Lytechinus pictus: one gene and its partners. The protein of the gene in region 3 purifies or fractionates together with the protein of the main gene of each other region. This does not show direct contact. Links are inferred from orthologs where the notes say so. Each region holds a gene or a part of one and is shown on either strand. Other genes may lie near its edges.

Region 1 (10,668 bases), on a different chromosome or scaffold from region 3:
CAGACCATCCTCTCCAAAAGGAAAGTCAGCATGAACCCAACTATAGCTGTCATCCTCCTCCTCGACTGAAGAAGCTCTTCGCTTCATTCTCAGCTTCTCAACTCAGATCCCAGCGACAAAACAAAACAAAAAATCCTCAACTTTTGGAGGAACAAGTCTTTAAGGTGCTCCAAAGTCTTTCAAAGATTCTTAGATAGATGACAGAATGGGGATTTCAAAATGATTCGAGACCCATGACGGTACGACTTGAAGAAACGGTTTAGTCTTTGAATTCTTTCAAAATGCACTTGAGTGAGATAGACATAAAAAGACGCACACGACCATCACAATGAGCCATATAAACAAAGGGGAGGCGTGAGAGATAGTACCGGTACACGTGGAACGAACGACAAACTTTGCGTTGGAACTGGAATGCCGGTAGGTAGCAACAGACAACGCTCAGCTGTTCTGCTGAAGATTCAGAATGGTTTATGGACAAGAGACAGCCAAGCAGTGACTAATATACCACACCGGTTGCTGGCTGTCAGCGTTCCAAGCCAACACACGAGTATACAGTACACCCATCCACAAGTGCACACACAGATTCAGGCACATGCTTGGAATGCACACACTCTGATGGAGAATATCACACGTGCGGTGAAGGCTCGTGAGGTTGATCAAGAGGACAAGAGTATGAGAGGAAGAGAGAGTAAGAGAGAGAAAGAAAGAGAGGATGATGGCTGGAGAAACAAGAAGACAGAACTATACACTCCTCCACGTGAGTGCTTGGCTCATAAATTATCTGTGACGTCGTTAGCTATGCTGTCACTGAGCGAGAGAACGTCATTCTCTCTGTACATAGTAGCGGAGCGTACGTGACTAGCTGGCTTTACTAAACAAAGATAGCCTGCCCAAGACAATGCCAATTTCTCCGCGGAAAAAGGGAATCCCTCCTAAAAACTTATGAAAATGTTTTTTTTTTTTTTTTCTCTGAACCAATGTTTATTCAATGACTTTCTCCTTATCCTTGGCTTTCTTACTCACCAAGAATCTAGTACAAAAAAAGATAACTTGATTCATAAAAGAAAAGAATGAATATTTAAAAATTGGACATGGCTCATGAATAATTCTCTATTCTTAATAATACCTTACGAAGCTTGTATATCAAATCTCTACAAAAAGTTGATGGTATTTGACATGATCTAATAATCTAAAATAAAACTTGACATCATACCAAGCTACATGTACATATAAAAGTTACCAAATAAAGTCTTAAAAAGCCATGTTTTATAACAGAAGATTACGGAAGTAAAGTATCTGCATACTGATGGACATATTAATTAATCCTTTATCCTTCAAGAAACCCTCCAAAAGATTGAAAGCACAAGAAATGACTAAATAATCTAAAATTAAATTGAAACCATTTCAAAAACGATGAAGAAACAAGAATTCCTACAAAAAGGCTATGGTATCATGACTACATGTAGGCCTTCATGACATTCAGGCCCTCAAATTAAAGATCTGTGATGGATTGCTAATATAAAAGAACGATTCTGATTGGTTCCTGGTCAGTGCTTTGAACAAAATTTGTATGCAACAACGATTCCGATTGGTAGTAAGCACTGACAGTGATTGCAAACCATGGAGAGCTCTGTGGTTAGACCACTTGTTGGGCATCATCTAATCTTACATGTGAAGCTATCCAACTCTGTACACAGAGTGAAAGGTAAAGACACCAACTGACCAGACTGACCTTGTCCCCAGTCAGTGGTCATTCTCTCTGATTGACCAGTGGCCTAACTGTGACCTCGTGCAAGGTCAGATAGGGTAAGAAACAGGTGGATGCAATAACCCAATTTTTTTTTTCTACCCTGGAGCAGGCCAGTGAGGCTGGCTAGACATTCCTATTACACACAGTCCAGTAATCTCTGGTTCTGGGAGTAGTCTCCCTTCCGCAGACACTGTTTTACAGCTATCTGTAAACAGCTGTACAGAACAGGGGCACCATTTCATAAAGGACTTGCAACTGTTGTACCTTTGTCATTATGGCAACTACCATGGTAACCTTGATTTTGATTGGCTGCTGAGCCCTGTTGCCATGGTAGTTGCCATAATGGCAAAGTTACAACAGTTGCATTTATGAAACGGCCCCAGATGTGGATTGGTCTATTCAGTCATCTAATAAATCATGCAGCAAATAATTAACTTAATTCCCACTAATCCCCACACATGAAGAATCAGCCATCATCAGCACAAAAGAAATTGAAAGATTGACCAAGCAGCTGAGTGTAAATGTAAAAGTACAATCAGACAGGCCTACTGTAGTTAGAAGAAAGTAAGTCTTCATGTACTCATAAAAAAAATAGATGGAATTTTGAATTCAAAGTGAATTTCAACATTTACATGTAGCTCAGTTATAAATAATAGTGCATACATGTATGACTGGTTTTCAAGGGAGGGCTGAGTGGGATTATGACATTATGATGATTCTTATTTCCATATTCAGAAAGAGCAAACTGATTCCTTGAGAATCCTTTGGGCCCGTATTCTGAAGTCATGTTTAACTTATTAATAGACCAAAGTCTAACTCTCTGCCAAAAATTCAAAATTCTGTTTCTCTTACGTTTACTTTTTTTTTCCAGTTGCTTTCATAACAAAGTAAATTACTTCAATTATCATTCCCAGACAATTATGAACAATTTGAGTGTCAAATGAGTTAATAAATTGGATGTGTACTGTTAGGGATTGTACCCGAATTGGCTCTCCATAGTTAAACCACAACTTTAAACCAGAGTTTAATTTAAACCCGAGTTCAGAATACGGGCCTTTGTGTTCTACCAAAACAAACTTGCAAGCTCTACAAAGATTTGTTTTTTATCAGTTACACTTTAACTGATAATAGACACTATAAGACTGTATAAACTATGACTAATTCAGTCAGTGTCAATAACAAATAGTTTGGAAATGAGTTACGCCTACATGAATGTATTTTTGTAGTTTATGGTGTGGTGTACACAGACCCATCAGCTTACTTGCTCAAAGAAATATCAATATCTAGCAAATTCCTGATCAATATTCACACAAGAGATACCACTATTGCACTTGAAAAAGCCTACATGTATGTTGTATTAACAAACTATTTTGTTAAAAATGGACAGAACTTGAGCTTACTTGCTCAATGAAAGATCAATATCTACATACATGTATGTTATTGTTGCTAGCAAATTCCTGATCACAATACACAGAAGAGATACCAATATTGTACATGAAAAAGCCTACATGCATGTTATAACAAACTAATTTGTTAAAAATGGACAGAACTAGCACAAAAGGCATGAACATTATATTATGTCTTACATGTATCAAATACATGCCCAAGCGCTCACAGCACTATTATACAGCCTATAAAAAATTGTCAGGTACCGGAGTACTGAAAACTATAGGCCTAACTCTTAATACACACTTCTGGAGAACTTGATGCGCCCCTTCAGTGAAATGAATATATAATCCAGCGCAAAAGTGTGGGTGAATCGGTAGATAGAACTTGACCAAGTTTCAAAGTTTGAGCACAAAGAAGTTTGGAGACTAGTAGTAGGTTCTACAACTCTATTTACCCCACATGTACATGTAGTAGCAGTGTATGCCTCCTGTAAAGCCGGAAAGGCATGAACACTGAAACGAAGATTGTACACAATAACCACGTGCAGATGGCAAGAGACCCAAACAGATCAAACTCCCCCTATACAGTACATACCTAGTTATTCTAGTAACTCCTGACTCCCAAATGTAGCATAAAGTCCAGATATCTTTCCAAGATCACTCCACAGAAACAAGTTACTGTCCAATATATATTTCCAATACACCTGGGTCAACAGGAAGTGGTAGAGGGGTGTAAAAACGCACCCCTTGCATGTGCACTCTTCTGGTATGGGTGCGTAATTAGCCCCCCTTTCTGACTTGAATGTGTACCCCCTATTGATCCCCTTGTGGTCTGCCAAGCCTGTTGTTTGAGATGGGTCACTCTACAAAAAAGGCACTGCAACAATAGAATGGAATTCAGACCCGCTAGTCTACTCTTTTAGACCCTGGTGGGTGTTTCATAAAGCTGTTCGTAAGATACGAATGACTTTACGCACGACTGGTTTTCCTTTCTTGTGCGATGTCATATCCCTATGTAATTGAGTTATGACCTAAGAACATGTTCCAGTCATGCGTAAAGTCGTTCGTAACTTTACGAACAGCTTTATGAAACACCCACCAGGGTTGTTTATGATTTGGATAGGAGTAATACATGTACGGTGTATCAACTGCATCATTATGGAGGCTGGATTCCATGGTTGGCTTTCAAATTTCAACCTACATACAAAACACATTCAATCTGTTTTATGTGAGGGATCAAATGCTTATATGAAACAAGCAGGCAAAAATAAATACAAATATAATGACAAACGACTTATCTATAGCTTTTCACGTACGCAATATCTTATCATTCACTTTCATATCCTTAAAATACATCTTAGTCAGATGAGTCAAGGGTTAAATTGTGAATTCGACTTCGCCAGATTCATCTCTTCTCTGAAGAAGAAAAAAAGGTTCAATAACAATTATTGAATTGACTCAAACATTGTTTATATACCAAATATGACTAAATACTAGAAATTGAAATTAAATGTCATTTTTTTAATGCTATCTCAATTTTCAAGCACCCCATGCCCCCTTCTTTACCCCCTTCCCGTCTTTATTGGAGATAACAAAAGCTATACATAGGACTTGTGATTCAGGGCATTGGCCTTTCCGTAGTTATGAACTTAAAATGAACCCAGCGACATTTTATTTAGTTTTGTCCTATGTGATACAATCAATAGACCACTTAGCTGAGAATCAATACATAGTACAACATTAGATTTAGTTCACCTTTCCAAAATCAATAACAAAAGGTCATAAGTGACACAATGAAAGACAACAGGAAACAAAATACTACAACCCAATGCCTCATAGATGATTGGTTGAGAAATCGAAGGGCGGTGACCAACTTGACCCACATATTTGAATATATGGTCACAACTGACATGCAAAAGAATGTACATTAGATTGCTAGTTCTTTACATGCATTTTTCATGAATATGAGCAAAACTTTGAAAATCCAATTTCGATGAAATGTTCAGCATGACGCTTATTTGTTTTAGTTTGTTACTTTGTTTTAACGTCCAAATTTACTTTTTGCAAGGGAATACTTCTTCAATTGAAGGTTTTGTATCTTTGGATTGGGAGAGGGAAAGCATTCATTGAATTCATATGGGAAAAATTTAACCTTTTTATTATTTTTTTTGTGTGTGTGTTGACTGTTGACCAAAAGTTTACAACAAACAAATGTTTATTTCCAATTGTACAAATAAGTACGAGAGAAACTGATTCTTCATTCCACATAAGATTACAAGACATCACACTGAAAATGGCCAGTAGAATACTCAAATTCCTGACTTTCATTTCAAGCTGGAAAACAGAAAGAATGTATGAAATAGACTAGCCACTTCATCTTCTCCTCAGTGGTCAATATCCTCAGAGCAAGAGGGACTGACGCTCAAAGTCCTTCTGCATCTTAGCAGTCTATGACCCCTGTTACATCTGAAAGTTTCCTACCCGAGACCCGACCGAGTCCACTTGCAACCTTGACTGGATTATTGGTGGATTAGCTTCGCGAACAGACTGAGTCCGAAATGTGGTCTGTTTACATCACAGCGTTCATTCCATCCCCTATCGGTACGGTTTCGAGCAGTATCCGATTGCTGACACCAAAGGGCGCTCTCGATCTATAGGCTCTGAATAATTTGCGCGCGCTAATTGAAGTTGTTTACATTTCGTTACACTCGTCGGCTGCTACACAGAAATGACAGGGTGGGACGTGTGCCGATCATTTCCAGAGAGAGTCGAAACGACTCTTTACCTTTACCCGAGATTTAGGAAGAATGCTGATGATCCCAGCAGTCGTTGAAGATATGATCGACTTGAAAAGGATACGTTTAAAATGCTTCCTTCTTTCCACTCAAATCAAAGACTTTATCAATCACAATTCACATGTCGCATGCCGCAAAACATTTGAAGAACGACGGGGCTGGGGAGAGGATAGCGCGCGCTATGACGTAATTTGACAGCTGGCGAACGGACCGAGATAGGTTCGAAAGCTTGTGTGCGTTTACATCTACGAATCGGTGGACCGGGGCCGGCCCGATACCTACCCGAGACTACCTCTGGATGTGGTCTCGGGTAGGTTCGCTAAAAGGTGGCCCGAGGTAGGTTTGGGATGTTTACATCTGATTTCTTTCCGACCCGAGGTAGGCCCCGGGCCGGCCCGAGGTAGGGAATCTCTCAGATGTAACAGGGGTCTAAGTAGTGGACAAATAAGGAATAAACCACAAGATGTACACAGTAGCTGACATCTTTGTAGTCTCGGCTTGTTGAAAATGAAACTACACATTCCTAACGAAACCTGGATTGAATGGAGAGCAAGCTGTGAGCTATTTGCTTTTCCTACACAAAGCAAATGGCCATCAACATACCAGTCCCTTTAATCAGGACTGTGTTCACCTATGAGATTCAAAATATAAAATTAAGAGAATATATATACATCTTTTAGTATCACTATTCTGCATTTGAACAGCACTGTAACATGTTGACCATCCACAGCATGCAGGAAAAACAATACCAAAAGTCCAAAATACATTTGTTTTGTTGATATAACTAATTTTTTTTGTAGAGGGACTTGACCGTTGTAAAGAAGGGTAAAGATTAATATCGAAAGTTGTCTTTTTTAGTGTGGTGTAGTATTTGGCTATAAAGGTCAAGTGTGTATATTGAAAATATCACTATTCACTGTTCATTCATCTAATCATGTATTATTGATTCATTCATTTATATATTCATCAATTTATTTATTGATTCTGTCTTACTTTCTTTTAATTTATGCATGCATTCATTCATCCATCCATTAGTTGTCTATCTGTACATTCATTTAAGAATCTTACTAATTAATGATCTATTTCTATCTATCTATCCATCCATCCATCTATTGATTTGAATACCTTGTTATCTTTCTATTTTTCTACAGTCCATCTCAGTATAGAGTCAAATGGATATGAACTATTCTAGCTGAAGCATTTTGAAATGGTAGCACACTACTTTTATTTTAATGCCTTTTCAATAAAATTCTGCACTGTTTCATACAATCACCAGTTCACATGGAACAGGCACGGTCCACTTTACGAAAAGATTCAACTCGGCCTACGAGACATTAGTGAAAGGTGATTCAGACAGCGAAACAAGGCTCAAAAGCAAGAAGAATGCACCTTGATGTATGAGAATTAATATCTGCATCATTAACGTCAAAGAACAAAATCTAGAAGCATTAGAAAGTACATGTAAAGGTGGGCTTTTAAAGCATCAACAATGAAATCAAGACGGCAAAGACTGGATGAATTTTTGATGGTTTAAATACGTGGGAAGAATAATTTATTGATGCTATCTTTTATTTTTCTTCTCATTCATTCATAATGCGTAAAACTATTTTCAGATATGAGGTAAATCAAAGAGAAAAAAAAAGATTTTTGCCTCAATAAATAATGATTTAATGGCATTTCTTTTTTTATTTGTTAATATTAGTGGGGTACTTTATGAGCTTGTTAAAAAATTGTGATTATCATTTTCTTTGGGTGTGTGTGATTAGTATCAGAATTTTCAACAATAACAAAAGCAATCAATATGAGAGATTCTGGCAAAGGGGTTCATTCTTTACCACACTTATATAATTGTGAAAGATTTATACATTGCTCTGTAAATCCCATTTTCACCATCTCCAATACCTACATTTTGTTTAAAAAAAAAAGATTCAAGCATGCAGCCAATAGCAGTATTGTATACGAATCTAATATTTTATCATGCTTTTATTCAATGCAATCACAATCATGATCCTGTGATGAGGCTTTTCGCAGTTCATATAAGAACTGTGTACATCAGGCGAAACATAATTTTTATTTTCATTTTCGGGGGCTACTTTTTCACACCTTACTGCCTAAATCTGCAATGTTGGATAAGCTTTAACATTGCAATGAATGGGGATTTCCTGGGCTCCTTTATTTTAGTTTCAAGGGCTGTTCTGAGTATTTAGGGGGCTAAATCGCCCCTAGCCCCCATGTAATTTTTTCCCCTGGTGTACACTCAAGTTGATCTGCACTGTGGTTAGGCTTGTATATAAACTGGCCTGCATTGACTATATTGTGTAGGCCTATGCCTTTTCATTTTCAATTCAAGTTTGTGATTTTACTAGGGTGTTTTTAATGCACCCCAAAACCCCTAAACGTGATTTATCAGTGGTTAAATTTACTTTAAGTTTCTACCAGTTGATTACAGGGGCTACAGAAGGAGTGGACCCTCCTCCCCCCACATTTTTTTTCTACAATGTTCATAACCATGAAAATTACAATTACTTGTTGCTTTTTCTTCTTGGTCAGGCCCGCCCCCCCCCCCCCCCCACCCCCAACTTTCAAGATCGCTCAGCGACCCCTGCATTAGTAATACGCAAGCAAAGAGTGTTGGCCTACATGTTTGTGTTGGATGTTGGAAGGGGGGGTGCCCACCAACTGACCTGACCTTGGATTTCAACAGGGGGTCAGCGAGTAGAAGCTTGACCCCTGCATCCCTAGTAACAAACAAACGAGTATCCATGTTAGTCTTTAAAACCCAGACCCAAATCAAAAATACTGCAACGGCGACATTCTACTTTCTACGCACCTAGACCTAGTTTGTGAAAGAAACTACATGTATGAGGAATACTGTAAAACACTATTATGCCTCCAGCATCATCATTTTTATTGCGCCAGCCCATCATTGTTGAGTCAAAAAGATATGAAATACTTCAAGACAACCAAAAGCAAATATGAGAGTGAGAGAGGTGGAGAAAGGAGGAGACAGCCAGAGAAAAATAATGCATAACAATCTAGATGCATCTGTGATATAGCGTCTTTTTAATGTGATGCAGCCAACGCTCGTCAGTGGTTCCCTATTCCAGTTTCTTTTTATATCATTATGGAAATATACATGTACTACACAAAGTAGGCCTATATATAGCCTCCTGATGGAATAAATCTAGCAAGAGTTTAGAAAACCTATCAAATGAAAAATTGCATGAGCCACAAACACAAATCTTCATTCTATTTCTAGTACCTGAAATAGCACTCTAATTCTGTTAGAAGTGACTATGGGTGGCAATTACAATGTATATGATAAGTGTCAATGTTGTGTAAATCATTCAGTATATATATATATAACTTCCGTAGCTTATGTAAATGCTAATGTTATGTAAATGTTATGTAAATCAATAAGCGTTTATATCAAAAGAAGATTAAATGTTTGTAACATTTTAAAGGGAAGGCCATCCCGATAAATTTGCTACATGTAGGCCTATACTTTCAATAAATGATGGAAACAAATGAGAGAGAATTTGAGCAATTTCCAATAAAAATCAGTGATTTTTTTTTTCATTATGAAGTTGTTATAACAAAACAAAAAGTAACAATATCTTAATATGTCATATAGCCATACACCTGTACAGTAAAATGTAAAGTCCTTTTAAACATTGAATATGATACAATTTGGCAATTGATTACATTGACCCTACATTATATCAACTGTTAAAATCAATTACATACATGATCAATCACTACGCTTTGTGATAACTGGATCAAATGATATACAGTACATGTAGTTCATAGTAAATCATTTTGAAGATATAACACAAAGCAAAGTGCTTTAAATTTAACTTCAATTAGGCAGCTGAGATGAGGGTCATTGCACTTTAAATTTCTCCAATAACGCTTCTCATACATGCTTGGCTATGTTGTTCTTTACTATTACATCACATAATACTGTGAATGGAATAGTATTCCAGCAAAAATTCAATACACAATGACTGATGTCAAAGGTCAAATGGGGAGTACTTAAATTATTCATTTCGAAAACCACACACACTCATGTGGTGGCTAGCCATCAATCATCTACTATTAAAAGATTTATTGGGAGTAGTCTATGAAGTCAAACCTCAAAATAATCCTCTTCAATGCCAAACTCAAGTAGTTGCAACCAAGAGTAATAGTGCATTGCAAGAAACTCGCACTGAATTTCAAATCAAACGTACATCCCAAAAATAGAGAAAGTTTGATGAAATACGCATTTGGAGTGGATTTGCGTTCAATCGCAATTCAATTTCCTTGGAACGCCCTAATGCGTTTAATTTGGAGACTTCAACTTGTTTTGCAACTGAACATAACTTATTTTTAATGTCACACTTTTCATTAAAAGAAATGGAGAACTCCAATTTAGAAACACATTTCTATACCAACAATCATAACCATAACATGTTTCCAAAGGCCTATACAAACACATTTATCAAAGGACTGCGTTTATAATCTCATCGCATGGTCAAAATCGGGCCTTGTGTACATACATGAATCAAGCTGTATTATCTTGCCCTCTTTGACCCAATAATGGGGTCCTAAATACCCTCCCCTTTTCTCTCTCTTGTGCTATAGATTGGGTAGTTCTTTTAAAGATTAATTTGATTTCATTGAAACATGTTTTGAAATCATTAATGAAAAAAAAATCAATTTAAACAAAAAATATCTTGAATGAGGGACTGAG
Region 2 (10,211 bases), on a different chromosome or scaffold from region 3:
AAATAGATAGAAAGAGGAGAGAGAAAGAAAGATAATTTTATAGATGTCATGGCTTATAAAGAAGGGGGGGCTAGACTAAGATTGGATCACACAGCCACCCCCCCCCCCCCCCTCCCTCCTTAGTTGAGCACTATTAGATACCTTACCTTACTCTGTGCCTTTTTCTAAATACCTTCTTGAAGGTACCACTCTAGTTCTCTTCAGTTAAGTTCAGAAAGTTCTATCTCTAGCTCTCTACCCCATTCCAAAGAACAATTTTAACATGAGCAATTTGTATAGGTCTTTCTAACATTAAGTAGGTGATCATACACTAGCACAAACCAATGATGAATCAGAACATAAAGAGGCCTAGACTCTCATTGACCAGTCTACAGTATAAGCATTTCTAGGCTTACATACACATACCTACTAACTATAGCATTGCTAAGCCATTAAATCCATTTTTGCACCACTTGATGACTAAACATATTGATATCAGTTAGAAATTGTTTGCTTCTGAGGAGTTTTGGCAGGTATTCCATCCACTATAGGGAATTCGCCTGTATTACTTATAGGTCTCACGCGCGTAAAACATTCCCCATAGACTTGTGTGTTAAAATGGCACTTAACAAAAATTCATAAAAAATAAATGCGAAATTAGAGGGTCGAATGTTTACTACCTTTGGATAGGATATATATCTGACATTCCATATCTGACCAGAGAAGGGTATCGTAGCCAGCTCATTTTAAAAATAAATCGCCATTTATGAAGATAACTATGATGGGATCAAATTCATCAACTGAAACAGTAAAATAGCCCCAATTCTTCCGCCAGTCAAAAAATAGTGCCAAATCATTGATATATCTTCCCAATTTGGGCAAAGGAAGTTCAGTAGTTACCATTTCTAGAATCAGTGTTAGATTTTGAATCATATTCATACATTTTTGTCAATCAGCAATATCAAATTGAAAAATTTCGAATGGGTTGGGTCGAACGAATATCTTTAGCCCTCCTGATGTAATTAGGCTCATGGCATCTTCTGAGGATAATGACAAATTTCCTGATACATTCTGACGATTTTTCAAAGAGTCTTGCAGTAAATGAGAATATATCGTCGATTCCAAAGCATGGTCCAAACTGATTGGTGTTGGGATTAGCCTAATCATCAACAAGAGTAATTTATATCATCATTTTTCAGAAAGACAAACAAAGAATAAAACTTACACTTCAATCAAAGTTCAACAGTAGAGGCGCACGGCCAATATGGGAGACTCTCTCCAATGTGGGAGATAATTTCCCATATTAGAGACTGGCTTTACAAAAGAACAAAAGAAACAACACCAACAAAAGCATAATTTTTTCCACCCAAAATTTTGTCTCACTGAGGTCAAAAGCCCATTTGTTAATAATTATTTATAATTACGTAATGAATTTTAATATTTGTAAAATAATAATTTTTTTCTATAAATTATTCGTCAGAACGGCATTGCTAGCCGGAAGTCTGTCATACATAAACGGTTCAAGGGTCGACGCTATTGTATTTCCGTTGTTTACATGTTGATCGAGGGGTCTACACGGCATCAGTTAGGTAAGAAACCTTTATTTTCTTCATTTTCATATCATAATTTTTAAAACCTTCTTACGCATTGGGCGTATATAGGAAGGTGTAAAAATCAATAAAATTCATAAACTTCACGTGATTTGGGTTTCAAAAGATGGATAAACCTAGGGAAATCCATCTTTGTTTACTTCGTTCTCTTACACGTCTATGAAGGCCTGTTCAAGAAGTCAATGATGAAGAAGTATATTTCATTATTTTAAAAGTCATCATCATTGCGTCCTCAAGACTAAGTTGAACTGGGTATATGTATAATCACTTACATGTATGGCAGTGTATTGTATTACTGGACACCTTTATTTCAGTGCTTTAAAAATGACAACTAGAGTTAATACAATCAAGAAAAATTTGCACTTGCTATTCCAAATATTATGAAAATTATGAATATGATAAAATCATTTTATATTTACCAACCGTTTTCTTTGCCTCGCACTTGTCGCATACCCCTCCACCAACCAAAAAATTACACGGGGGCGGCGGGCGAATTCGCCCCGGAAAGTCCAAAAAGAGCCCCGGAAAAGGGCTAAAAACATTCACACGAGGGCGACTGCAAAACTCATAATCGCTCCCGTCAACACTGTATATTTATGTAGCATTTCATGCATACGTACGTGATTGCATTTAAATTATACATTATACATTATATTGCATTTAAATGTGTACTTGTTTGCATTTGCGTGTGACCGCTTATATTACAATCTTGAGCTGTTTCCTACGCGCACACCAATTGTGCTACAAAATCCCAAACTCATTGCCCGTCTGCAGTTGCGAACATCACGTATATATGTACGTAAATCACCGCGGAGCTGCCCGCAGAGTCACACAAGCAAATACAAGATACAGTGGCACAATAACATTGCTCATTTCAGCGCACGCGAGTCCATCATAGGATCGTGTCAGCTAAGAGAACTTACCTGTGAATCTCTGTTTACGGGCGTGAATAGTGCATGTGGTACATGTGCCTATGAATTCGAGATGGTACCGGTACGTACTTCTCGCTAGCTCGCGCCGCGCTGCTTCGAAGCTTCGTCGCGATCGCATGTACATTACATCTTATTAAAGCAGAGCCTGCAGCAGAGCAGCCCTGCACTGCTGACCAGCATCCCTTCAATGTGGCACACACACACACACACCCTTACACACACACACACACACACAAACGCAAAAAAGCCGCGAAATAGCTCCAGAAATTGTAGCCCTGGAAAGTGGAAAAAGAGCCCTGGAAAATGAAAAAGTAGCCCTGGAAAGTTTCTCCAAAAAGAGCCCTGGAAAGAAAAAAAGTAATTGAAAAACAGTTATTAGGACGGGTAAAGATATTCTTCATTATAATCGATGTAAGAAAGAATTTGTGTGATTTTTTCTTCATATATCACATCATGCATAAATTCTAAGTTTTTGTTTGCTTTTTTCATATCGAATCTGAGCAGATGTTGGTAATAAATTCGTGTTTGATAACTGATTTTATTTTTTTCTTGTTAGCTGCAATTTCCATAGCACTTTCCAATATTATGCTCGTTCGTATCGTGACGCTCATCAAGTTCTATCGATGCGCTGCCGATCGTCGACGGCTCGACTCAGTACGACAATACACCAGACGGTGGACTGTACTGTTTCCAGGAGAAGAAGACTCACGGTAAACCTTCGCGCACGGGTACCTTGAGAACTAGCCGTCGACAATTACCCACAATACACCACACCTCATCATTCGATCGAAGGAGCCGGACGAGATTGACATTCGGCAAATCAGGCCCATATTTCCGTCAGAAAATATTTAAATTGTTAATGCAAAACTATGTTATATGATTATGATATTTTATTTTTAAGCATTTTCTGTCATTTTTGTGATAAATAAGGTTAAAGTTGGATTTTTCCGCCTTGTTTTTGCAATCTTGTTCTATGTATTGCTCTGTGAAATTGAACTGCGGAAGTCTTACGGTACGAAATTGTTTTCAAACGCAGTAATATGCGCGTCCGGAATAATGATAGTGTCTGGTAATACAATGGGTGATTTCAAGTACGGTGTTGAAATCTGGTGTTGGTGTTGTGACAACACCAAAACCAGCCACAACACCGTACTTGAAATCAAGCTGGTGTTGGGATTGACCTCGGAAAATATGACGTATTTCCGGCAGTTCGTGTTGAACTTGAATGTCGTCTGCTGAACCCAGCACTGCGGCTGGTGTTGACGATCTACGTGCAATTTCCCCATTCACCAACACCAACCCCCAGGGATTGGGAAAATCGTGATTTCAAGTTCGGTGTTGGTGTTGGTGTTGGCAATCTCAAGCTCGTGGAGAGGCAGCGAACACGATGAAACATCCCCATAAAATTAGTTTTTACAGATGAGTACAAATCATTTGAGTTGTATATATTTTGATGAAGAATAATGTTCACTCTTTCGAATTCTTGAATTTATTAAAACATTGGTAATGGTATTCTGTAAGTGTAAGATGAGAATTTAATGCATTTCTCTCCGATTTCATTTTCGTCATCGAGACTTCTCGCGTGAAGTTGAGATGATTTAGCATGGCAGCGCATAGGCGTGACGTCATGTACTATCGATAACGCAATCGGTATCATTCCTCTGAACCCAGCTCGGTGTTGGAGCTCGGTTCAGCGGCCTTTTTACGCTCTCAACACCAACACCAACACCCAACACCGAACTTGAAATCACCCAATAAGTGACTATATACCCAGTTGTTGTGTGTCCGGACAGGTTGTGTGTCCGGACGATCAATTTTAGAAAGTCATTTGGAACAATTTACAAGGGAAGTTTTATCAATTTTTAGTACAAAATGTCAGGAAATATTATAAAGAACCAAATAGAAGATGATTACAACTATTGATTTCGTATTTTTAGTGTAATCCAAAGACAAAAAAGAAGGCTTCAAAAATGCAAAGTGTCCGGACACCCGACCCCCCATCCTACATGTAGTAACGGGGATAGACACATACGGGACTGCAATGAAAATTGAAATAATGTAAAAATTACCTCTTCTGAAATTGTTCCAATGAGGTAGTAATGGACATCTTTGAAGAATTCCAAATGCACAGGAGCATTTTCTGGATCCACCATCGCATTTTCCATGACTAAATTAGCTCAATTTTCGAGAAGAAAACGCCATTCTTACTCTCACAAAATTAGGTTTTTGTTCGCGCGGAATGAAGATGGCGCGCCGATGATCTATGGAAGGCGAGGTAGGACATAATCAATCGAAATCGCAAACTATTGTGTGCGACGTTTGTGGTGAGAAATCTTCTTCTTTTTGTTCTTTTTTTGTCAATTATTCTCTTTTCTCTTTTGTACAACTTCTGCTTCTCGCAGATTAAATATAATCTCCATATAGTGAAATAATTGCACCAAAATACCCATTTATGACATAAATATGTGAGTGCCCACGCCCAGAAACTCAGTTTTTCGCTGGGGGCGTAAACTTTATTGGAAAATACTCAAAAGAGAGGGAGCAAAGTGACCGAGCTTGTCATTTGAGGTTTTAATTGATAACAAATTTATTTCATTTTAAAATTTCAACAGAATTACAAAGTAAACCGAATCATAATACATAATGAAATGAAATAAAAACCTTTAGAAAAGCAAAGTTTGTTAGTATGAGTTTTCCTTTAAGAAATAAGCTTATTAACACTAGTTCAAATAACAAATCATCATATCTTTCTTGTAGAAATCAAATATAGATCCAGATCCTTTTAAAATATGATTTTTTTTTTGTCATGTTCTCCCAAGTAAAAGATAAACAAGGCTGGATAATATTACAAGTATCTTAGATATGACAAAAAAAAAGTGAAAAGGGGACACACGAAACAGAACTTTACAACAACAAAAAAGACGTAACAGAACTGTACAAGAAACAAGGCATGGCAAAAACTATACAAGAACAAGACATAAAAATAGTACAAGAACAGACAAAACAAAAACAATAAAACAAAGGACCAAAAATGAGTAAAAGAAAACAAACAAACGAAAGAACAAAAGAACAAAAAAAATAAGCATACACGGGTAAATAGAATGAAAAGAGACACAAACGGGAAAAGAAGAGGAATAAATTGAGACGGAGTGGGAGAATATGGAAGAGCAGAAAAAAAATCCTAAGTAGACTGTATGATTATTAGTGAGATTTTTTTTCAAATGTTCTACAGTGGCGTAACAGGCGGGGGGGCAGGGGGGCAAGCTGCCCCCCCCCCCCCTGGCGGATTTCACCGGGAAAATAAAAGAAAAACGGGAAAAAGAAAAAAGGAGGAAAAAAGAAAGGGAAAGGGGAAGGAAAGGGGAAAAGGAAAGGAGGAAAAAGAAAGGGAAAGGGAAAAGTGAAAAGAAAACGAAGAAAAACTTCTTTTTTAAATGGAAAAGGAAGGAAAGCGGGAAAATGTACGAAAGAAGAACATTTGAGAAAGAACAAATCATTCCAAAATAGGCCTATAATGTAATGCAATAGCATGGTGGGAAATAGGATGACAAAATGGCAAAAAAATAGCGGGAAACGAAGGTAAAATGTAATTAATCAAAAGCTAAATTGGAAAACAAAGAAAAGGGACAAGAAAAAAAATAATAACACGACCGGGCTGCCGATGATTGAAATTAAAGAGCGGGAAGAAAAATGGACTGCATACAACATTGTGCTATAAGCTTGCTAAATTTTATGCAAATAAGCTACCTGGGGGGTGTTTCATGAAAGGACTTGTCAGACGTTTTATCCGACAAGTCCAATTTTATCCGACAGTTACCATAGTAACAGTACCTCTCAGCCAATCAACATCAGAGAAAGATGTCAGATCTGACAACTTGTCGGATGAAAATTTTGATGAAACACTCCCCCGGGGCTTTGCCCCAGACCCCACGCAGTAGGGGCTTCTCATTTATAACCTTCGAATGGCTCTACAACGCCCCCCCCCCCCCCCGTTCAATCACGTTCAATCATTCGCATACAGGCGCGGGGAGGGGGGTCTTGGTTCCACGCCCAAGAGGAAATAAAAGAAATTATAGGAGACAACGTATAAATGAAATGAATGGAAACAATGAACTGTGTTATTTGCTGAATATAATGGAAAAATCTATCACATAATTAGAATTTAATTTCAATAGGCAATTTTTTTCCAGCTCGCTTTGCACGCTGGGGACTTTTTACAAATTTTTCCCACTTTGCTATGTTTTGCCCCCTCAAAATATATTTTGGTTCATTACGCAACTGGGTTGAATAAATGTGTTGTGTATAAGCTATATTCTGTATATGCCCGCGATTTGATTGAAATAGCGGCAATCTGCGAGGTTTAAATGGCTTTGATATCAAGAAGTTCCGGGGGGTTCCGCCCCGGACCCCACCCACACAGCACTGCGTATGGAAGGGTTGGGCCATGGCTCCAAAAAGTTCTACAAACAAGAACAAAAAAAAGGAGGAAAGAAAAGCAAAGGAAAAGTGTAGGATATGATTTTATTTACTGAATAATTATAATGTCAAAAAATAGCTCAAAGTTAGATTCTCATGAAAAGGTGATTTTTTTCTCGCTCGCTTCGCTCGCTCGGGACTTATAGAAAGCAGCTTTTTAGCACATGTGCTATACTGCGCGGCCCTCATTTTTTTTTTTTTTTTTTTTTTTTTACTCTTCACGCTACTGCCGCAAAGAATCCTGTTCACAGTGGCGTACAGACCACACAAAAGGAATCTAAAGAGAGAAAAGTGAAATATATTATTCACTGGATATCATGTCAAAATCTATCACAAAATTTGATTTTTGAATTAAAAAGGTCAAAATTTTAGCTCGCTCGCTTCGCTCGCTCGCAACTTTTTTTTAAAGATAAATTTGGCCCGATACGCAATATCTGGCCTTCTCAAAAATTAATAGTCGCCCCATTACACCATTACGCCTGTTCATACCATGATATGACCGGGAAATTTTTGGCTCTGGCCACCGACCCCTGTTACGCCGCTGATGTTCTATTGAAACTTTGAATTGTAAATAGGCTTATTTCGTAAAGCTTGCAGTGAGTTCCAATAAAGTTTGATGCCAGAGGATATGAAAAGTTTGTTGGTAAATAATGTTCTTGTTCTAGGTAAATGGAAAAGTCCAGCAGATCTTGTGATGGATATTGATATTTGAAGAGCTCACTTGCAAAAGGGGTTAGGTCCATTTTCATCAAATTTGATTTTTTTTTTTTATTTGTCTCAATGTATAGATTTTTAGTAGCTCTATAAGATGATACCAAAGAAATGTTCGAATTCCCATTAAAAATGATCTAAAATGGCAACGAAAAAAACACTTTTTTTCAAAAGGGGTTAGGTCCATTTCAGTTTAGTTGTAGAAGGGGTTAGGTCCACACAAATTTTTTTGGACGAGAATATAAAAAAATTGAAGACAGGTAGATTTCTTTTATACCCAATTTTATGTTCTCATGGTAAGGAATCATGAAAACTTAGTTTCGCATAAGAATTTTATTGCAGGAGAATTTAAAAAAAAATGATTTTCTTGGAGTGGACCTAACCCCTTTTGCAAACAAACTCTTCTGAAGAGTTCATTTGTCAAAAGGGGTTAGGTCCATTGTTCATAAATTTTATTGTTTTCTGTCTCAAAACCTCTAAATTTTTAGTTGATCTGATGAAAACAAAGAAAATTTGAAATTCACATGAAAACATGAATAAAAGTGACAAAGAAAAATCACTTTTTTAATCAAAATAGATTGGATTCACTTGCAAAAGGGGTTAGGTCCACAATGACAATTTTTAAAAGAATACATAGAAAAAATGAAGACAGGTAGATTTCTTTTATACCCAATTTTATGTTCACATGATAGGGTAGTACATCATGACAATTTAGTTTCTCATAAGAGTATTACAGTAAGTGAGAATAAAAAAAACATGTTTTTTCTCGGAATGGTCCAAAGTGGACCTAACCCCTTTTGCAACTTAACTCTTCATTTCTTGTAAACATAGAAAAAAAACACATCTGGTAGTTCGTTTTATTAAAGTTGTACATGAATGATCCAAGATTATAATCATGATAAAGATAAAGATCGTGTATCGTAAGAATAGAATAAGTTTTGATAAAAACATTCGTGTGTGCCCGATAATGAGAAAGTAAAAGTCTATTCAAAATAATGAAAATCAGCACAAACACACCGTGCCATAATACCAAAGTTCAAATGCGGGGGGGGGGGGGGTCGGAGAAGAGTACAAATTTAATATAAATATACGAGTCGAGAAGTAGAATTTAAATTTATTTGTAATTCCAATATTTCGTGAAATTGTTTTACACGTATTATCTATATGTTCTTTCCATGGCCGTCAGTCGTCGATAGGACCCTTATACAGAAATTTCGTATTTAATACTCTTTGAATCAGTGGCGTAGCTACGGGGGCACGTCCCCCCCCCCCCCCCCCCATCGGCTGGCCAATAAAATGAAGAAAAAACGGGAGAAAATGGGGAGAAAGACAGAAAAACTTAGTTGGGGAAGAAGAAATTATTGTATATTATATTTATTATGTTATAAGAAATATGTTTTCATAACATTTTTGTAAGTAAAAATATGAATTGAATTGAATTGAATTTATTAGAACTTCACTGGCAATTGCCAGCATTTTGTTCATAACAAGAAGTACAAAATATGAATTGCTACAAATTCATACATAAATTGATACAAATCATTTCTGGTGCTCTATTTTGTCTGTTTATAATCCTGATGTACTAAAAATTCAAATTTTCAAGTCAGTAGGCTGATACACCAAATACATATATTTCCTCACGCTTCGAGTTAATATTGTTTTATGTAGTGACACATGAGTACTTGAAGTGATTGCCCCCGTTTAAGGTCTCAATATAAAACATTTTCAGTCCGTGCAGATGTTCACATTTTTGGATTGGTGAGATATACGTCTGCTCGTCTGCTCCTAAGAACCGTCCTTAAAATGTCCCTTTTTCTGGTCTGAATATAAAAAAAAATTCAGCTCGCATCATTTATTGTTGCTTGTCAATTTTTCCTCGGAAAAATGTGCCCCCTGGAAAATCGCGGATCCGCCCCTGCATGGCACCCTTAAACATACTTCCTCTTGGTCATGTTGGTGGTGGGATATGCAGCAGAGTGCCATGCAACACCTTCCCCCGTCTGGTAAAAAAAAATCCCAACTAACATTAATTTGCATAATGATGACAAGATTTATGATCCAGTCTTTAAGCTGTTATGGGAAGCATTATTCCTTCTGCTCTTTTTGAAAAATATTCTTTTTTTTTTTGCTTAATTTTATTCAGCCGTTAAGTCATGAATACCACTTATTTTTTAGAAGGCTGCTTCCTAACTTCCCATGCTTCGTTTGAATAATTTAATTTTAAAATAATTCTGCTGGAAGATTTGATGGGTTAATTAAGGGGGAAATTACTTTGGATGTTATAGATACCTCTATATATAGAATTGCTATTATTGCCAAAAGTAGGCCTAACGTGGCATGTAATCTCCAATACGAAGCTGAACTTCGTTTATAATTGTAATCATGTTTAGTTGTATTCAGGCGCGGATCCAGGGGGGGGGGGCATAGGAGGCACTTGCCCCCCCCCCCCCCCCTCCTTGAGAAGCAAAATTAAAAATTTGTAATGTAATGTTTTTTTCGGCTT
Region 3 (10,463 bases):
ACAGGATAGCGTTCAGACTCACTCGACACTCCGTTTTGTTGACGATCGGCCAGGCATTAAGACTTTTGTTAACAGTGCGATAGCTTCTGTGGGAAACTAGTGAAAACACGTTTATTTAATGAAATTATGGAAATACAAGCATTGTTTCGAGGGAACAGAACTTTTTTTTCTTGACCGTTTTCTGTGATTAACGTAATAAATAAAAGAGCAGATATCAAACTTTTTAGTCATGTGATTTTCTTTTTGAAATTAATTTTTTGGTATCCTTTCTTCAAATTGTTTTTGCTCACTCATGCGTGAATGAGGAATAATCTAATTAAGTTTAAATGAAAGAGAAGATTCTAAGCTTTACATTAGTAGGTCATTTGTCTATTGTGTTCATGATTAAGTTATAATAAATCATCGCTACATCTTGGTTTTGTTTTTTGTGGGACGCACTGTATTTCTGTTATAAATAAGCTTTAAGATTTAACAAGTGGAGCGCCTTGGGCAGTCTATCCTGCATTACACGATTCGAAATACATAGGGCAGCAGTGCCGAGTTTAAAAACTACTATAAATAATTATTCACAAAAAACACCATTCATATAATGATACAATACTACGTTCATTGACCCTAAATGACATTTCACCTTGATCATGAGACCTAGGACTTGTCTGTGATACAATGATTACCCCTATGTCCACATTTTATAAACTACATGTATATCCATAAACTAAATCATGAACAATGCGCTGAATCATGAAAAAAAATGCCTCTCGAAAACTGAAAATGGCTCCGGTAAAATGAAAAATGGTTCTCATTTTTATTTCAAAATGGCTCTCTAAAAATAAAATGTAATTTCAACTCTGCTTCAGGATGATCCCAATCATGACAAATCATTAAAAAAATCAACTGTTAGCCTACATGTACATGTATGTGCACGTAATCAATGCAAATTTAGGGAAATCCCCCAAATTCAAAGGGAAATCCAAAATAAATAACTGTGAGAAATAACATTAATTATGTACAGGCCATGGAATGAACATTAAAGTATGAGAGCTGAATATGCATTTAATTATATTTTATTGATTACATTTACATTCTGTACATATAGTGAAGACCTGAAATCACATGGATGTACAAAATGATTCCAAGGGGAGTTCAAATGCACTACTTTCCTACATGTATATAATATTGATGAAATTCTCAGTGTCATACACTACATGTATTACTCGATTTCTTATTTTTTAAAATCAAATTTACCCTCTTCTTTTACATTTTTTTTTTTACAGAGTATACAAATTTCTGATATCTTATGATCAATATGCAATTAAATGCAACAGAAATCATTAAAAAAAGTAAATAGTTCAAAAGACTAATAAAACAACCAACATTTGAAAGTACTCTCTAGTAGGCCTACTACATGTAGGCATACATGTAGGTGTACCCTTATTGGTGAATATGTACCAACATGTATCACTAGATACAGTAAGTGCATGGAGCTACTTGAATCATTATAGGTCGTGCCCATGAAAAAAAAAATTAATAAATAAAGAGAAGTAAAATTATTTTAGAAAATCCATTGACATCAGATGTAAAACAAGAGAGATGCAGGTATGGCATATAACTTTGTTTGTTTTATAGATTAGTTCCAGAAAGACAATATCAGAAATGGAAAGGCAATAAACTACAAAATACAAAGTCTGTTTCATGCAATATGCTTTAAAATAGTCAAATTCTCTAATGTCATGTGGATAGAGAACTTGTAAACAAGTGCGATAGATATGTACAGGGGTGATATTCAATCCTGAAAAAAAAATAGACATACTAAAGCGAGGAGCATTGCGACCAAGCCCGAGGGAGAGAAGCGAACGAAGGGGGGAGGGGGTATCCCCCCTCCCACGGTAGGGACTTTTTGCATTTTGGGACTTTAAATGGTGCAATTTTGTGCATACCTGGAGGGGAAATTTGGGATTAAATCTTTTGTTAGTTTTAACTGCATGTATTGTACATGTAAACAAGAACACTACACAACGTGAACTGATACCTATACTTTCGCCTTAACCTGCTCATCATAGCTCAGCTAGCTCAGTCGTCGTAAACAAGAGAACAAAGCATTTGCATGTCAATTTCCATGACCAAGATCACAATAAATAATGACAGTTTGATGCCTGCAACTGCCCAAATTCCCCTTGAAAGAAGACTCACAAGATTACCAATCAACGATATTCGTATCGCGACCCGCCTCAGTCTCAGCGGAGCATACATGTACATGAATCCCTGACAGAGAGACAGGTCTAAATTTACAACTGCAATACATCTAGACAAATATTCATTAAAAAATCTGATTCAAAATAGTGGAAATTTATTGAATTTCAGGAATCTCATGTGACGGCTGTGAAATGCAGCCTTTCTCATTAAACTCCCTGAATTGTATGTACATGTACACTGTACAGTGAATGGGTGCGCATCATTTTTTGTTCAATCTTAAAATGATTGGCCAAGGTTTTTTCCAAGAAATTCATATAAATATATTTCTCTCAAATTTTCTTTTTTGCACACTCACTAATAAAAATATAAGGAACACTATCAACTGAATTTTCGTGACTAAAAAGGAAAACATGTTTAATCTTACAGTTGTAAGTTAAATTTTTAAGTGCTCAGAAATGGCCTATGGAGAACCCCTGAATTGTTTAGACGCTTGACTCTCCAGCATACATGTACATGTATCTGCAAATTTGACCTGAAATTGGAGTACTTTTAATAGACCTTGCATTATCATATATGCAGGCTTGCTAGCCGCGCCAACTTTCTTAAAAAACAGGTACATGTAATATAAATAAGAGGGGCCCAATGTCTGCATACCTGAATTATTTAACTTAAGATAACATGAATTTTTATCATTTCACTAAAATTTTAAGTTGATAATATTCCTAAAGGAATGTAGGACACTTTTATGAATAAGTGTGCAAAAAATCTCATACAAACTTGAAAGAAATAAAATATTTTTTTAAGGAAAAAAAACTCTGCCAGTCATTTTCAGATTGAACAAAATAATGGTGCCCCATGTATGCGCACCCATTCACTTTACATGATTCAGGGATTTTGATGGGAATGGCTGCAGCTGCATTTTGAGGTCGCCACATGAAATGCCCGAAATTCATTAATTTTCCACCATTTACAGTCAAATTTTTTAATGAACATCCTTCTATGTATTGCATGTGTACAGTTTGTGGTCATCGCGTATCTTCTTTAGTTTACTAGAATCGCGCAGATGGGCAAGTGCGCAGACAAATGACAAGGGGCACTGTGCTTTCTTAGGGGACCTTACCATTAGGGGGCTCAATTACAAGGTAATTGATCAATTATGTAATTAATTAAATTTTTGAGTAATTGTAATTTTGTAATTGAAATTTTGAAAGGTAAAGTAATTTTTTTTTTAAGTAATTGACATCAATTACGGTACTTTTAATCACATTCAATTTACTTTACAATAAACTTACTTAATTTATGATCTAATTTCATGACGTTTTTCATGGATCAAGTGCTTCAGCATCAGAGTGTAGAGGGTCTACATGTAATAGGCAAAATCCGTGCTCTTTACATAATACATGTATTACCTGCATCTTGTCAGTTTCTTAACTTTCTCTGTAACTTAGAATTGTTAAATAGGTGGTGCTAGTACCGTCTGCTAGTTCATACAGAATACATACAATGATATACATCCTGTATATCATTTATGACTTTATAGAAAGTAATTGAAATTGTAATTGACAAAATGGTAGGCCTGACTGTAATTGAAAAAAAAAGTAATTTCATTGAAAAGTAAATTGTAATTAAACCCTGCTTACCTTACTACTATTTGCCCTTTTGAGTGTTTTTTTTTTTTTGAAGGACTCCAGAGTCCTGTGAATTCATTAATCTAATCATGTTGAAATAAAATATGAGATATAGGCTACATGTAGATAGATTAGAGTCTAGATCAGCATGTGAAAAGGGTTGATCATCATGTTCTATCAGCTGGACATGTTCTCATATTAGTCTTGTCTGTCTTGTCTTTCTGTTAATGCCCACAATCATTATATTGATTATTATGACATACCGGTATAAACGTCAAGATTGACTTGACCTGACTTTTTGCCGGGACATGCAGGTGCAATACACCGGGTGCACACCCTACGCTTTGAAGAATAGTGTACTACTACTACTACTAGTACTACAGCCTAGGCTAGAGGTCTAGTATTGCCATATTGGTTTTAACGTGCATAGGTTGTGACTCTCGGCTATAGGCCTACCCAGGACCACCATTTGCATCCTTTCCGATGGACTGAGTGTTTTCCAACTGCATTCATACCTGCACTGGATACAGTGGATGAGTGGTAATCATGCTAGTAACACACAATGCTATACTTAGGCATGATAGGCTAGCATCAGATTTTTTTGTTAGACGCGTTTCGGCATGAGCGGGACTCAAACCCTTGTCATCACGACTCACGTTGAGATCTACGATCTTATCCAAAACATGCGCTCTATCTAAGTCTAACCGACTAAGGCTAAGCTACTCTGCCTCCATTCACTTCAATTTCAGCTCGAATATGCATATTATTATCTGTAAAATCTCAGCTCAATACTGTACTTCATTATTTTGGTTTTGCATTTCAAATTCAAAGCCACTGCCAAGAATGTTATTGTTAATGTAGTTAAGTCTGTTAATTATTCCATTTCCCATGTTTCCAAATGCAATCTGGTAATTGCATTCTCCAGTCATATAATATAAAATACAATAATTTAGTATGCCTGCTTTCCAAATTCTAAATCATATCCACCCAATCCAGAATTCCAGGTTAGTGAGTGAGGTTAAAACAATGAATGAATGCCAAGCTGAAAAACTAGCTGCACGCTCAAACTCAGTCAAAGCCCGGCCAAGCGGACGTGTAATTTGTTAATTAAAACGATGGAATTTACCTGCATGAACATGCAAAACCAACAATATATCAAAAATATTTTCAACAAATTCTTAAACAAAATCAAAGAACTTACAGTGGTGGCACTTTTGCAGGTGGATATCAGGCGGGGTTTGATGCCCATTAATAGAAACAAAGGGTTTGAATATTTTCATCACGATTACTTGTCTACTGATGATGCCGCCATATTGAATGCCTTTTCACTCTATGTGACCTCCAAAACAGGGAGATTTAAATGATAAAATGTAGATCCCCAATCTTTATGGAAATTTTTTCTACTGAATAGAAATAGGCATAAATATGATTTTAATGTGTCATTTATTTAAAAGATATACAGGAAAGGATGTATATATCATATATTTTATATTTATTAGCTCTATTTTATATTTCTGCTCTTCCGCGGATGAATCTTATGTTGTGAACGGAGCGACCCTTTTTACTATATGTTCATAATACTACATTTGGAGAAATTTTCTCAAATTGGTATAACGCCGCATCATATTCGGGAATCTTCATTTCATTTATCTTTTCATCGACTGTTCTGAACATGGTTTTGTCGTTATTGAGGAAAAATTTGTCTATTTATATACTCACAGGATTGGTTTTCGGTGCATTGACAAGGGTATTTTCTGGTGAAATATACTACGAGTATTCGCTGTATGTGCTACACTGAATGCTCTATACTGAGGCCTGGACGTTCACAGCAGAAGCGACCACGCATGCTGTCTATATACAGTACACAGGGCCCCACCCCCACATTCAAAACAAGGGCGGTATCGACTATTGAGCAAGGCTAGAAAAGTCATTTGTAATATAATATGGAGATAAAAAATAAAGTCTATTATATGCGAGATGGTTCGTCGTTGCTTACAACAGTAAGGCCAAAATGGTATGAGACCAAAGAGTTACTCCTGATGATTTGTGTTCAATTGCTTCTTGATATAATACAGATGGGTTTTTTTTTATTATAGTCACGGGGTCGATACAGACCTGAGAACTCCGACTGGCCGTCAACTTACTCAAATATTGTTGTAATGTAAAAATGCTATTGAATACCTTTTTTTACCCTTAATTTGTGGTTGAAATCCTTTTTTTTTTATTGCTTGTCAAATTTTTTCGGGTACGAAATATCCTTAATTTGTAATTTGTCGTTGAAAACCTGTTTTTTTTTTTTTTTTTTTTTTTTTTGGGGGGGGGGCTTGTCAAAATTTTCCTCCGAAAAGTTTGCCCCCCCCCTTTTGGAAAATCCTGGATTCCTGGGTATATAAAGCAGGTGCGGTTCTAGAATGGGGGCTTTGGGGACTGACACCCCTCCCCAAAAAAAAAAAATCAACCACAAATAAGGAAAAAATAGATAAATGTTGGCCCTGAATAATGTAGAATTCCATATACGTTTATTTATTTATTTATTTATTTAATTAATTATCTATTAACAATATTTCAACAGGATGCCCAATCAACGTAAAATTGTTCTCCCTTTGGGTCCTGCATATTAAAAACCAATCAAAATATATCTTATTATACACAGTAAAATTATCATGAGAAAAATATACATACATATCATGATAGAACATAATAGTTGAAGTCAGATATAAACAAAACTATAATTAACTACGCACATCATTAGAAAAGAGGGAGTATACATACATAGACTATAATAATTGAAATTGACATCGGAGATATTTAATATTGGAGAATCAAGCTGAAATTGCACTTTTATATTATCTTTTAAATATTTCTTAAAAACTGAGAGGGAGTTTATCTTTTGAGGTTCAGGTTGACTATATTCCATAATAAGACGGCTTGATGATGAAATGAGTGTTTGAATGATTCAATATGACATTTTGGGAAGTGTAACTTAGTTTGAGAGGAATTTCTTGTGCAGTATGAATGATTTATTTCCTAAAAGTGGTTCACATGAAATGGCTAAGGCTTGATTTTTCGTTTTGTTAATCATTTTCAAACTGGAGAAAAGTGTGGAGAAACAAGTTGTACAGGAAACATGAAATGTGGTCCCATGCACTTTAAATGATAAAACTTTGTTAAAGAATGCTGGAGGTGCCGAGTCTGAAATAAACTTTTGTTTACACTCAGATAAGTCCTCAGATCCAGCTGGCCCCCAAAAAGGTAAAGGTTGTGTTTACCTCGGGTTACAGTGTTAATTTCCATGGCAAAGTTGTTACAAAATGTTTAAATGTATCTGTTTTATTTGAATTTGCTAAAATGCAAAAGAAATGCATAGAAAATGTACTGCACAGTCAGTTTGTTTTCGCTCTTTTTCCCTTGACACGGCTTGAAAATTAGCATTTCTGCATGCCTTGCGCAAACCGATTTCTGCGAGCTTTACAAAAATGGACATTGCTCGCTCAGTCAAGGGTAATATTCAGTCAAAAAGTTTACTTTCATTTTTTTTAATAGATTAGACCCAAACTCAAAAATATACGTTAAAAAAATTATCCCCATGTTGCATATTTTTCAATACCCAGGACTATTCCAAAGTGTAAACTTTTTATTGATACGCGCTGTAAGGGGCCCTTTCACAAGTTATGCTTCTATGGGGGTCCCAAACCTATCATGTCTAATTATTTTTTTTCACACTGTGTTAACATGTTTTTTGTTTGGTTGATTTAGATAAACTTGAAAACTTTTCAACCCAATGTATGAATGACGACAAATAACTTCGTTCCTTGTTATCAGATTTTGATGAAATTTTCTGCGTTTTACTCGGTAAAGTCATACTCTTTATATTTAGATATAATTATTTTCAGCCCGAAGTACCCCTTTAATGATCTGCCGTAGACGGGAGAGCCGGCAATCATCTGGCATTTTTTGGTTGGCAAAAACAAGAAGAAACAAAAACGGAGATGAAGGATAGAAAGAAGACATAAGAAAGGGAAAATATTTTAAACATCTTTTTAGCAAATTCAGAAATGGGAAATGAGTCTTTGAAACAGGATCTCAAATTTTGATCAAGATTTATGCCCCCACCCACGGGATTTAGGCCCGTGAGAATAGATATTATAAGTTGGCACGAATATTAATCCCTGGGTAAAGACATGCAAGATTTGTTTTCTGAATGTGTTAGAAACTGTATTACCATAGTAATAGCATAGGATATGTATTAATCATCTTAAGTGATATTCCTTTTCTGCGTCTTAATTATTTCGCTTTTCTTTTCTCTTCGTATTCAACATTAAATTTGTCTGGAAATTAATTTAGTGTTTTTTGCAAGCCATACATGAATATATATATATTGACTTATCATTATTTTTTTCCAAGAGCCATAATCCATGTTATTACGAAACAACTTCTATCACTAAGGGTTTTTACCTTTTGGGTAATGTGACAGTGACCCACTGAAATTTCACCCATGCAGTAAAAAGCTTTAAAAAATCATCAAAATTTGATAATAAATAACAAAATTATTGAATTTTGAATTTAATCAATATATTGTAAAAACAAATAACGAAATTATTGAATTTTAAAGTGAGCAATATTTTATGAAAACACTTAAATACATTCCGTCATGTACATAAATGTAGGTGGACTGATGGTGTTACGTCCACACCTTCATATTTCTAATGTTTGAATTCATTACTATTTGTAATAAGTTCAAGCAATTACACATTCAATCAGTAATTTTTCAAAATTCTTGGTGGACAAAATTTGAAGAAAAAAAAACATAATAATAAAATACAGAATGGGAACATAACAATATCAGCTTTAAAATTGCATATTCATGAAGACATGCACAGAACTGGCACCAAATTAATGTTATAACTTTGTTATGCTATTTCCCCGGTGTTTTGTTTCTCTGATTTTACTTTTTATATATATATATATGTATAGATAGATAGATATATACCGAGTAGCCATTTTAATCCAACACGTACACGAACCGCGAGCCGAACATAATTTTATACTGATCCGAAGAAGGAACGTACTGTTTGACACGTAATAATAATAATAATGATGATGATAATAATAATAATAATAATGATAATAATAATAATAATAATAATAATAATAAGGCCCATATGGGTTTTACCGGGCTGACTGGGGCCCGTATGCCCCACATGAATACCACATGGGACCCAGATTCAAACAGATATTATCCCAGACCCACCCATATGGGCCCCGGTATGGGCCCAGGTATGGGTCCCAAATATATTATTCAGGCAATTCTGATGAGCAGAAAACATCCAGAGAAACACCTCTGGGCTTCACATGGGCCCCATCTGTGCTGTTCTGGGCAAGCTCCAGATGGAATTCCTCCCAGAATAACACATGTTGGGCCCACATGGTTCCAATATGTGTTTTTCTGAGCAATCTCAATATATACTGAGAAATCATCCCAGAAAAAAAAACACATGTGGGCCCCACTTGGGCCCTATACATGATATATGTGTTGTTCTGGGCAATCTCCAGATGTAAATCTCCAGATGTAAATCTCCAGATGTAAATCTTCCTAGAACAATACATGTTGACCCCATATGTGTTGTTCAGGGCAATCTGAATTGATTATCCCAGAACAACATATTTGGGCCCCATATGTTTCGTTCTGGGCAATCTGAATAGAGATCATACAAGAACAACACATATGCCCCCACATGAGACCAGTGTGTGTTGTTCTGGGCAATATCCAGATGGAAATCATCCCAGAACAACACATATGCCCCCACATGAGACCAATGTGTGTTGTTCTGGGCAATATCCAGATGGAAATCATCCCAGAACAACACATATTGGCCCCCTATGTTTTGTTCTTGGCAATCTGAATAGAAATCACCTCAGCCTGTGGGTCCCATAATATTCTGGACAATATCTAAATAGAAATTTCCCAGAACATCACATGTGGGCCCCACTTGGGACCCGTATGTGTTGTTCTGGGCAATCTGGATAGAGATTATCCCAGAGCATGGGACCAATGTTTGTTGTACTGGGCAATATCATTAGTCACTAAAAGAAGATATTAACAGACGCCTTTTCATGTCAGTACAAAGTCCCTTTTAGTGATCATAAAAACTGCTCTGAATTTTCATTTTTCCTGTTTAAATAATCATATTATAGGCCTAATACATGAAATGTCAAAAAAATTTGATCTCACGCTTTGTACTCTCATTTTTGATGTAGGCCTCATGATTATATTTGTAAGAAAAAAAACTAAGATGTACTTAAAACTTAAGTCTTTAGTTTAGGAATTATTAGGACCACCCTGAAAAATAACAACAAATATCAACTTTAAGTGGCCGATCAGGGAAAACGTGAATAAAATGTTTTTTTCCCTGCCTGCCCACTCCCATTGGCAAAAACTACACCCGCCTCTGCATAGTTTATGTTCTCTTAAAGTGATAAAAAGAAGTGTCACCGGTCACTATCTGTTCAGCATACAACTTTAAGGATGCCTTATTAACAGTAAGCCGAACATAATTTTATACTGATCCGAAGAAGGAACGTACTGTTTGACACGTAATAATAATAATAATGATGATGATAATAATAATAATAATAATGATA

What was found.
Region 1: the proteins of histone-lysine N-methyltransferase 2C-like (region 3) and lysine-specific demethylase 6A-like purify together in Homo sapiens (affinity purification with mass spectrometry; 3 studies listed by BioGRID and IntAct, with this or other methods). This does not show direct contact. The link is inferred for Lytechinus pictus from reciprocal best matches to the Homo sapiens genes KMT2C and KDM6A.
Region 2: the proteins of histone-lysine N-methyltransferase 2C-like (region 3) and PAX-interacting protein 1-like purify together in Homo sapiens (affinity purification with mass spectrometry; 4 studies listed by BioGRID and IntAct, with this or other methods). This does not show direct contact. The link is inferred for Lytechinus pictus from reciprocal best matches to the Homo sapiens genes KMT2C and PAXIP1.

What each region holds. Positions count from the first base shown.
Region 1 is NC_087260.1:15,816,001-15,826,668, forward strand, and holds the start of lysine-specific demethylase 6A-like, read right to left. Parts: upstream 3,976-10,668; 5' UTR 3,734-3,975; intron 1-3,733. UniProt on the Homo sapiens protein: Histone demethylase that specifically demethylates 'Lys-27' of histone H3, thereby playing a central role in histone code. Demethylates trimethylated and dimethylated but not monomethylated H3 'Lys-27'.
Region 2 is NC_087250.1:1,165,468-1,175,678, reverse strand, and holds the start of PAX-interacting protein 1-like, read right to left. Parts: upstream 4,786-10,211; 5' UTR 4,687-4,785; coding exon 4,591-4,686; intron 1-4,590.
Region 3 is NC_087247.1:18,252,401-18,262,863, forward strand, and holds the start of histone-lysine N-methyltransferase 2C-like, read right to left. Parts: upstream 5,158-10,463; 5' UTR 5,023-5,157; intron 1-5,022. UniProt on the Homo sapiens protein: Histone methyltransferase that catalyzes methyl group transfer from S-adenosyl-L-methionine to the epsilon-amino group of 'Lys-4' of histone H3 (H3K4).